Linked DNA regions of Diceros bicornis minor. The protein of the gene in region 2 interacts with the protein of the main gene of each other region in a biochemical or structural test. Links are inferred from orthologs where the notes say so. Each region holds a gene or a part of one and is shown on either strand. Other genes may lie near its edges.

The links. The genes of interacting proteins can lie anywhere in the genome.
Region 1: the proteins of NFKB2 (region 2) and BCL3 form a complex in vitro, tested with the Homo sapiens proteins (2 studies listed by BioGRID). The link is inferred for Diceros bicornis minor from reciprocal best matches to the Homo sapiens genes NFKB2 and BCL3.

Annotation. Positions count from the first base shown.
Region 1 is NC_080773.1:19,124,790-19,129,873, forward strand, and holds the start of BCL3 (B-cell lymphoma 3 protein), read left to right. Parts: upstream 1-1,315; 5' UTR 1,316-1,470; coding exon 1,471-1,726; intron 1,727-3,471; coding exon 3,472-3,625; intron 3,626-5,084. UniProt on the Homo sapiens protein: Contributes to the regulation of transcriptional activation of NF-kappa-B target genes. In the cytoplasm, inhibits the nuclear translocation of the NF-kappa-B p50 subunit.
Region 2 is NC_080745.1:67,377,330-67,382,413, reverse strand, and holds the start of NFKB2 (nuclear factor NF-kappa-B p100 subunit), read right to left. Parts: upstream 3,353-5,084; 5' UTR 3,247-3,352; intron 2,116-3,246; exon of another isoform or gene 1,931-2,115; 5' UTR 1,859-1,930; coding exon 1,838-1,858; intron 1,567-1,837; coding exon 1,482-1,566; intron 1,365-1,481; coding exon 1,324-1,364; intron 1,064-1,323; coding exon 965-1,063; intron 886-964; coding exon 734-885; intron 479-733; coding exon 372-478; intron 284-371; coding exon 125-283; intron 1-124. UniProt on the Homo sapiens protein: NF-kappa-B is a pleiotropic transcription factor present in almost all cell types and is the endpoint of a series of signal transduction events that are initiated by a vast array of stimuli related to many biological processes such as inflammation, immunity, differentiation, cell growth, tumorigenesis and apoptosis.

The sequences.
Region 1 (5,084 bases), on a different chromosome or scaffold from region 2:
GGCCAGGGATGGAGGGACAGAGTCGCAGAGACAGGGGGCGACACAGAGAGAGAACCAGGGAGCCCCTGCGTGCCGCCTGCACAGACCCGGGGTGCAGCCCCCATTCCCTGTCCCCCGAGGTCCCCAAAGCCTCCCCCTCCGCCTCCCGTAACTCAGTGACCGGGGCTCAACCCCGGCGACGGCCCCGCCTCCAGGGAAATCCGGGAAAGCCCCGCGCGCCAGGCCCCTCCCCGGGGCGGGGAGAAGGGCGCGAGGGGAGGGGCCGGGAGCAGGCCAGCCTCCGCCCCTCCATCCACCCCCTGGCTCCAGCCTGCCTCTGAGTCATGCCCCCAACCCGCCCGGCCTGTTCCCCACCCACCAACCCTGCCCGCGATGGGAGGGGGATGGGAGGGGGAAGGGAGGGGGAGCATCACTGCGCCCCCCAGGCCCGGACTTGGGTCGCTCCGGTTCTGATCTTGCGTCTTTGCGTCTCTTGCTATCTCTCTGTCTCTCTTTTGCTTGGTGTCTCACGATCTGTGTGGCTGTGTCGCCACGTCTCTTTCTCTCCGTGCGTCCAGGATTCCCAGAGCACCCACCCGGTGCCCGGTGCTCGGGCCGGGTGCAGGGACCCCACGCGGGGAGACACACTCAGGGCTCCTCTGCGCACTCGCCATCGCCCCCCACCCCAGCGAAGTTCAGGCCGCGGCCGGGGAGGCACATGGAGAGGCAGAGGTGGGGGCAGGGCAGGCAGAGGAATGGTGCCAGGGCGCCTCCCAGGGCACTCCTCGCCCTCGCACTGGAGGAAGCGGCTCAGAGAAGGGAAGTGCCCTGCCAAGGTCACCCGGCCAGGAAGTGGGAGTCGGGACTCGACCCCGCGTCCCAGCGACCCCGGGGCCTCATGGAAGTGCCTCCCTGGGGCAGAGGCTGCGAGGCAGACAGCACTCGAGACAGAGAGATGGGGAGAGACACAGAGACAATAGAGACAGTGGGAGAACAGAGACACAGAGACAGAGGCTCGGAGAGACACCTATCGGGACAGGAGGGTCAGAGACGGAGTTAGAGGCGCAGCGGTAGAGAGACAGAAAGACACACACGGAGACGGCGACGGAGACAGGCCGCACCGCAGGGGTGGGACCCCCACCCCCGACCCCGCCTCCTTCCCACCCCGCCCCCGCCCCCCGCAGAGGCCGGGCGCCCTGGGCGCGCGGGGCGGGAGGGGCGGGCGCGGGGCGCGGCGCGGGCGGGGCGCACGGCGGAGGCAGCGCGGGGCGGCGGAGCGGCGGCGGGTCCAGGAAACCCCTGGGGCGGACGGGTGGCCCCGGGGGGGCCGGGGGCGGGGAGGCGGGCGGCCGGCACCGCCCCGGCCGACAAAAGTCCCTTCAGTTCAGCCGGCGGCAGGGGAAGTCCCGGCGCCCGGCGCAACCACCCTCCCGTGCCGCCGAGCCGAGCCGCGCTCCGGCCGCCCGCTCGGCCGCCGTCCCCGGCGGCCCCATGCCCCGATGCCCCGCAGGGGCCATGGACGAGGGGCCCGTAGACCTGCGCACCCGGCCCAAGGCCGCCGGCCCCCCGGGCGCCGCGCTGCCGCTCCGCAAGCGCCCGCTCCGCGCGCCCTCCCCTGAGCCCGCCGCCCCCCGCGCCGCCACGGGCCCGCTCGTCCCCCCGGATCCCCTGCGCGGCGGCTCCGACATGCCGGCGGTCCCCGCGCCCCCCCACGGCCTGGCCCGGCCTGAGGCGGTTTACTACCCTGGTGAGTGGCTCCCGCGGGTCAGGGCCGGGTGGGAGCCAGACGGGGCACAGGGTCACAGAGCGCGGGGCAGAGCTCAGACACACATATGGGTCCCATGGAGCTGAGGGACAGGGGCACAGAATCCAGGGTCCCAAGGACACACATATGGAGTTGCTGGGGAGCTGGGGGCAGAGCCTGAGGTCCCAGGACACAGATATGGGAGCACCGGGGAGCAGTGTTTTGGGACTGCAAATATGAGGGTCCTAGGCAGTGGGTGTTAGGGGGCCCTGGGGACAGAGCCCAGGGTCTGAATGCCACAGACGTGGGGACCCAGGGTACAGTGCCCTGCAGTACAGATCTGGGATCTCAGAGAATCAAGGGAGCAGGTCCTGTGGTCCCAGGAACACGGAATTATAAGCTCTTAAGAACCCATATATCTAGGGTTATACGAAGTTGGTACTTGGGCCCAAGAAACTGGGGTTCTTGCTATCCAGATATGTGGGGTCAGAGGGGGTCAGGGGAACAGAGATGGGGGTTCTAAGGAGACAGCTAATAGGGACCCCAGGGTGTGAAGATCTCAGGAACCAAGATATCAGAGAACAGTGGGAATTAGAACAGAGCTGGAGTTCTGAGCACCCCAATATCCAGGCATCACGGGATTGAAGGAAACAGACCCAGGTACTGGCAGTCTTGAGGAGCCAGTGGGACAGAGATCCAGTGGGACAGAGATCCAGTGGGACAGAGATCCAGTGGGACAGAGATCCGGTTATGTGTGGTCACAAGGGGACAAGGTCTCATCTGAGATCAAAAAGTCAGGTGGCCCGAGGGGGTTTGGGGACTGAGGATTCTGGGAATGGGGGGCAGGACTGGGGTATTCTGGGACTCAAGGATTTAGGCCAGGATGAAGGATTCAGGGGTCGCTGGGCAGAAGGCCGATACAGAGACCTGGAAACTTGGGGGTTCAGGAATGGGGGGTCCCCAAGGATCGGGAGATGACAGAGAAGGCCAAACGCCATTCTCCCCATCCTGACTCCATCTGTGATCTCGAGGAAGGGGCATCCCCTTCCACAGCTGTGCGTACCTCACCATCCCCGAGTGACCCCCAAGGCTGCAGAGAGCCCGCCCAGTGCCTGCAGACCTTTGCCCAGTTTCTGCACCTTCCACTCCATCAGCGCAGAGCAGTTGGATAGCCTCGAGCTGTGCATCAGGCGGCCTCCTCTCTCTCCCATTCCCTGGGTGAGAAGCCAGGCCTCAGTTTTCCCATCTGTGTGATGCGCCCATACAGATTTGACGGTTGCCATGGTCCTGTCCAACACTTTGATCTGAACAGGCTCCTGGCACCCCTGCTCACCTCCTCACCCACCCTTCACCCCAAACTCTCTACGCATGCACCCCACGCCCTATACCCAGTGCTTCATCCATTCTTACCTCTCTGAGCCACAAATTCACTCAGCAAACAGGCCCTGGGGTCCCCCTGCTGGGTGATGATGGGGGTCTCTGCCTAGTAGGAGGTGGGGGTCAGACACATGAAAAGATAAGTCACAATGAGAGTGACGAGGGCTGGGGGACAGGGTTGGGGGGAAGCTGCTGGAGCCCAGAGGAGGGACGTGGAAGGGGAGATTGTTCTGGGCCTTGAGGACCCAGTAGGAGATGCAAAAGTGACCTGGAAAAAGTGCAGGTGACACCAGCAGGGGTGAAGGCCCACAGGTCGGGGCTGGGCTGAGGGTCTGCGGGCTTGGCCTCACTCACGTTCTTTCTCTGCCCAGGACCTATACTGCCCCTGTACCCCACCCCGACCATGGGCTCCCCCTTTCCTCTGCTGAACCTGCCTACGCCCCTGTACCCCATGGTGTGCCCCATGGAACATCCCCTGTCGGCTGACATCGCCATGGCAACCCGTGCAGATGAGGACGGAGACACGTGAGTAACAGTCCCCCGCTGATGGGGGGTGGGGAAGCCAGTCCTCCACCCACCTCACCCACCGCCACACAGGGGCACTCAGCTTGGGCTGTCGAGTTCCCTCCACCCCAGTTAGAATCTTGTCTCCACCACCTGCTGTGTGACTTGAAGCAAGGCCCTTTCCCTCTCTGAGCCTCAGTTTCCGCTTCTGAAACACGGGGCCCCTGAGAGCACGTACCTCCTAGGACTGTTTTCAGGGCAGGGGGCTTCACATATTTTATCACAATCCCCAAATGAGAAAGACATTTCATTGACTGATTGATCATATGAGTTATAATGTTAAGCTCCTAGCCTGAGCCCGGTAGATTCTAAGTGCTCAATAAGTATTAATTAATATTATTATTGCTACTTTATATTAAACCCAGTGCATATACACACATATAAACTTGAAAAAATAATTGCCCAGAACAAAACAATACTCATCCTTATTACATGAGATCCGCTTTGGTGTTTTCTAGTCTAGAAATAGAAATAGAAATAGTTTCTCAGCTGGCTACTTTCTCATCCCTCTCTGCCTCAGTTTCCCCCTGTAAAAACAGGAACCACATGTGTGCGAGGGTCTCTGTGAGGCAGAAATGAGATGATTTCTATAAAGTGCCTATCTGGGAATTGGGGACTGGGAACCATAGGTAGGGATGGGATGAACAGGCCTATGTCTGCAGGACAAGGGAGGCCTCCACCACCGGCCCACTGGGTGACTTCACATCCCTAAGCCTCAGTTTCCCTATCTGGAAATCAAGGCTCAGGGTAGCACCCAGCACAATGAGGATTCAGTGCAATAATGTACATACGTATGGTGCATAGAACAGAGTGGGTGCTCAATACATGGGGGTGGGTGGTGTTCGAACAGAGGTTCCCCGCGTGGTTATGGGCCGCCAGTGTGAGCCCAAGCCGGAGAAAGTGCCTGAGACACATAAAGGGCTCGATCAAGCGAGTTCCCTCCCCCTCTGTGTCCCTCCCGGGTCATCTGTGAAATCGATTTCGTTTGTCTCTGCCCCCAGGGGTGAGCTGTTTGCAGCCTGTGAAAGCAGGGTGCAGAAGGCGACCTGGCACACCAGCCTCCAGCCCCGCGCCCCACCCGCCCTCCCCCGCGCTCCCCCCTCTCCCCCTTCTCCCCCAAAGCAAACACTTCTGCCTCAGCTGCCTGTGGGGGAAATCCCTTCCCGCAGAACTTGACCGCAGCCCAGCTGCTCGGCCTCCCCCACGTCAGCACCCGTCACTCACTCGCAGCCTCCCCCTCCTGGCGCTCCCTCTAACCTTAACCCCTTCCGCTGGGGGCCGAGACTTTACCGGAATGGGCAGCTGGCGCAGCCTGGGGGCGGGGGAGGGGGACACGCTAAGTCCCCAGCGCGGCAAAGCTTGGGTGGGAGGCTGGACTTCTAGAGACTCAGGGGAGCAAGAATCGCAGGGCATCTGGACC
Region 2 (5,084 bases):
TGACTTGCTCAAGATCACTCAGCTCATACGTGGCAGGGCCAAGTTCAAACCCAGACCAATCTGACTCCACAGCTTGAGGTTGCCCCCATTTCCCTGTGGCACGCCAGGTGGTCAGGATACTCACTGCTGTCGTGGATGGGCTGGGAGATAACTGGCTTCAGGGGCAGGGAAAAGGAGCCGTCGCTGGCTCGAAGGAAGGCGGAGAAGCGCAGTCGCACAATGCTCAGATCCATCACCTTCTTCAGCTCCTTGGCCTCCTGCTCCAGCTCCCGCCGCTCAGTCTCTGGGCAATGGGCACAGACGTGACCCCTGGACTCCTCCTCTACTCCTTCCATGACCACCTCTCATGACTCCCTCCCTCTCCTCCATACCCGTAAGGCCCTGGGGCCTGGAGCGGAGTCGCTGCCTCTGAAGTTTTTGTATCATAATCTCCATCATGTTCTTCTTCGTCACATGCAGGACGCCCAGGTTGTTAAATCTGGTGGGGGCAGGGGAGTCAGAGGCTTTACAGGCAGTTCTTTCCTCCTAAGGCACCCTCCCCACCACCAGGGCTCAGCTCAGCCCCACTTCCTCTAGGAAGTTTTTCTGGTTTTCAGTTGGGGCCTTGGGTTTTGGGGCCAGCCTAAGTCTCTCCCCTTGGTCAGATGCTAAGCTCATAGAGGTGGGCTGGGGCCTCGGACTGGCAGGCAATGAGGGGGCAAGCCAGTGGGGGCCAGGGGCAGAGGGCACCTACTGGGCAGTCATGTCCTTGGGCCCCACAGACACGGCACAGACCCCCAGCTCCGAGCACTGCTTGCCCACCAGGCTGTGGGCGTGAGCACGAGGCGGGTCACTGTGTGTTACCAGGTCCACCTCGATCTTGGCTGGTCCCTCGTAGTTACAGATCTGAGAGGGGTGAGGGCTGTCAGTAACGCCCCTGGACACACTATCCACTAGCCCACCCTCCAGCACCATCCTGGCTCACCTTGACAGTGGGATAAGTCTTCCGGCCCTTCTCGCTGGAGGCACCTGGCAGTCCCCCGTGGGAGGGGCCTTCACAGCCATATCGAAATCGGAAGCCTCGCTGAAGGTCCCAGGGCAGAGTGACATTGTGACCAGGAGAGACTCCCCCCAAGCCAGCCATACCCCCAGCCAGCAGTGACCATAATGACTGGTAGTGTTGGTCTTGAACCACAACCACACCACTGTGATCAGCAGCAGCCAATCATCCCAACCCAAAGTGGCCTCTGTGGTCAGTGACCCTCCCCATGGCCACCCAGCTACAACTACCCCACTTGCTCCCAAAGCTGAAGCCATCCTACACCATCCCTTCCACTCACTCACCTGCTTAGGCTGTTCCACGATCACCAGGTAGGGACCATCAGCTGGGGACAGAGGGGCCTTGCTAAGCCAGGATCTCTGAGCCCATCCCCAAGGCAGAGGGCACATGCTCCTCCCTCCCCCTCCCTCTAAGACAAGGGGATGTTAGGGGACTTACTAACCTGTCTCTGGGGCCGGCTCCTTGGGCTCTACAATGGATGGGTTGAATTTGAAATCATCATATTCAATGATACCATCCAGACCCTGCTTTGGAGAGAGACAGGTGGCAGCTGATTCTGAGCCACCTCCAGAGCCCTCCACTTCCCAGCTCTCGAAGCCCTTACTAATCACTCCCTCTCCTTCCCAGGCCCATAAGAAAGCTCCTATTGGAAACTTTGCAGACAGACTGATAAGCAGGCTGAGGTAATCCGAGGGCATTACAGGCGTAGGGGAGCAGAGGGGACTCGGACAGACAGGCAGACAAGCAGACAAACACAGGGGGGCAGCCGCCGGCTTCAGGTCAGGTGGCGTGACTCACTGGGTCGTAGCAACTCTCCATGTCTCTGGGCTAGGCCCGGCTCTATCTGGTGGCTCCGGCCGGGTTCTGTTTCCCAGAGTTTCAGGCGCCCGCCTTAGGTGGGGGGGAGTGGCGGGGAGAGAGAGAGATCAGGACGAGAGTGGGGGGAGAAAGGGGGGCCCAGATTTGGGGGAGGGTCCGATCTCCTCCAGCCACCCGTCCGGGTGTGGCGGGCGAGATCCGGTGGAGGGCGAGATCCGGAGCTGGGCTGGGCTGGGCCGGGGAAGGGGCAGGAAAGTTAGAACAGCTTAGGAAAGTCCCGAAAATACCAGCGGGGAGGCGGGGCCGGAGGGGGCGGGCCTGGAAATGACGCCACTGGCCACGCCCCCGCGGCGGGAGGGGCGCGCGGTCTTCTCTGGCCTGCGGGCGCCCGTAGCCTCTCAGTGGGCAGAGGGGCAACCAGACCCCAGGGAAGCCCCCGTGTGGGTTGGGCCCCCTCCTCCCTCCAGGCAGGCGCCGGGGACCAGAGGGTCTTTCATGGCCGGGGGAGGCTTCCAGTCCGCGTCCACGTCTGCCTCCATCCCCTCCCCCGTCCTGGAGCAACCTTGGGATTTTCTACCCCGAGGGAGGCCACGGCTGATTCACCCTGGGGGCTTTTGGGGGGACATTCCTGCTGTAGGAAGGCCTCCTCCCCGAAGGCCTGTAGGCGGGGGCTCTTCCCAGTGGGGGGCCCCGGGGTTCTGCCCCGAGAACCGGACTCTGGGGCCGCGGGGCGGGGGGAGGAAAGGTGTCTCTTCCTTGGGATGGGCTCCTCTATTACCTCTCCCCGAAACATCTTAACAGCTGTTGCTTCTCCCACTGCACCTGCTCTGCGTGCCCACGACCCCCGCCCCAGTCCGAGCCGTGTGTAATACATGTGTGTCTCTCCATCACAGGTATACAAGTGTGTTTCGGCCCATGTGCTTGCGTGCGTGTTGTGTGTGCATGGCGTCAACACGCGTGTGCCAGTGAGCATGTCTGTGTACAGGTGAGCGTCCTTAAACTTCTCAGTGTGGACACATGCCTGAGCATGTCTTGATATGTAAGGGCACAGGTGAACCTGTCTTTGAGTTTGTGCGTGAATAGTATGGGTCCAGACATCTGTGGGAGCATGTTTGCGTGTGCATGTGTGTGCGAGTCGAGTGCATGGGCAATGCTATACACACGCTGGCATACGTGTAGGTGTACGTACGGGTCGGCATGTCTTTGTACAAGGATGTCGATGTGTATCTGTGTGTCTTGTTCGTGTGTGTGATCTGTGCGTGTGTGTTCGCGCGCGCGCGCGCGTGCATAAGCCGCTCTCCAGCCCCGGGCTCAGAGTCAGGTAAGGGCCCTCTTCCCGCCCTTCCCCGTGTCCCGGGCACCCGGGAGGTCTGGACCTGGCCACTCACCGCGGCGGCGGCTCCGGTTCCGGCTTCTCTCCCGGCCCGACCCACCTCGGACGGGTCGCGACACCTCTCCAGCCACCAGGGCTCCAGCCGGGAAAGCCCCTTTTCCGCCCCCGGGAGGGGGGAATTCCCGTGACGTGTGCGTGCGTCACGCCCCATGCCCTTTTTCATTGGCTGAAAGTTTAACTCCCGGACTCGCGCAGCCAATCGGGAGCGACTCAGGTGCGCCTCTTAGAGGGGAAAAGATTCGCGCAGCGCGGGGAGCCGGGAGTGGGGATGCCTGTCACCCAGCCGTGAGCTCTGGCTGGGGGATCAGCCTGAGGCGGGATCCGCTGACTGACTGTCATTCCCGGGCCGAGGGCCCCGGCTCCGGTCTTCTCACCCACCCAGGCCTGCCCCAGACGGCTGGCAGCCCAGTCTGCTACTTGGCTTATGCTGTGCCTAACGCTTGGCCACCTCTGAAGCTGGGGAACCCCAGGGGGAAGCTGGCGGGCCCCAGCCCTGCGGTCCCCCGCTCGGAGCGGGACCCTGCTGCCAGGAAGAGTTAGGGGAAGAGGAAGGAAGTTGATTTTTCAGTCGGTCGCAGGGCGCCATCTGGCGGCCTTTCTGGAGCCTCACGGAATCTCCGTAATCCTCCCCTGGAAGGGACAATCCCGACCTAAAACCTCTTATATAAATGGCAGGTTCATAGCGAGCCAGACTTTCAGACCCGCTTGAGCTCAGGAGCTCATATCAGAATTGAAAACGCGTGCAAAATCTCAATAGGTCAAAATTCTTCCGATGTAGGAAATTGCGTTTTATATATTTCTCAACGTCCTCTTGAACACTAGTGGCAGCAAGGTCAGTATAGGATTTCACAAAGTACTGACTCCTAGGCTGGACATCTCTGGTTGGTAGAGTTTCTCTTTAGGCGATTCCGTGAGTAATCTCCATTCCTGGAGTCATCCTCCCTTAGGCTCACGGTGGAACACAGGCTGTTGCTTCAGATCTTTCCCGCAATTTATCCCTGCCCTTCTTCCTAATGGTATTACAGGCCCGCACTAGCTCTGCATAAAGGGAGATCATTATGGCCCTTAATTTGGACTCTCTATTTCCTGTTACTTCCCCCTCCTCTTCATCTTGCTGGAAAATGAAATGTGCTAGGTACTGTGTTAAGGTACTTTAGTATAAGTTCTTATTCTTCCTCCCAACAACCCTAGAAGGTAAATGTTACCTTTACTTTACTGATGAATAAATTAATTAATGCTCAGAGAGGTGAAGTAACACAACCAAATACACAGCTAGAAAAGGAAAAAGTGAGAATTCAAACCAGTCTGTTAACTCTAGGACGAAGCTCTTTTCCCCAAATCTATATAAAACAAAGCAGGCCTTTCCACCCCACTGTGGGCCTCTCAAGTAAATATAAGATACTATCAAACAATTTGCTGAAATCCAGGGATATTGTCCACTATAGGCCCCTGGTAAATCAGATCCTTAACTCTTAACCTGGAATGAGGTTAGTTTGGTATACTCCAACTTTGTGAACCTGTGCTGATTGCCACTGATCACGACTGTCCTTTCAAAGTGCTCATAAACCACCAGTTGAAATTGGCATGACTTCTTCCAGTCTCCACAATGTCTCTAAAAGTACCCAAAGAGGTTGAGCTATTTTAGTTATAAGATTCTGAGATGTAATTTACCTGAAGATTTTTAAAAAGCAAAACCTTTATTATAGAAAATTTCAAACATATAAAGAGTGGAGAAATAGTATAATGAACCCCTATTTACCCATCAGTCAGCTCCACCAATTCCCAGCGCTGGCCTGGATTTTTTAATTTTTTTATTTTTGTGAGGAAGATCAG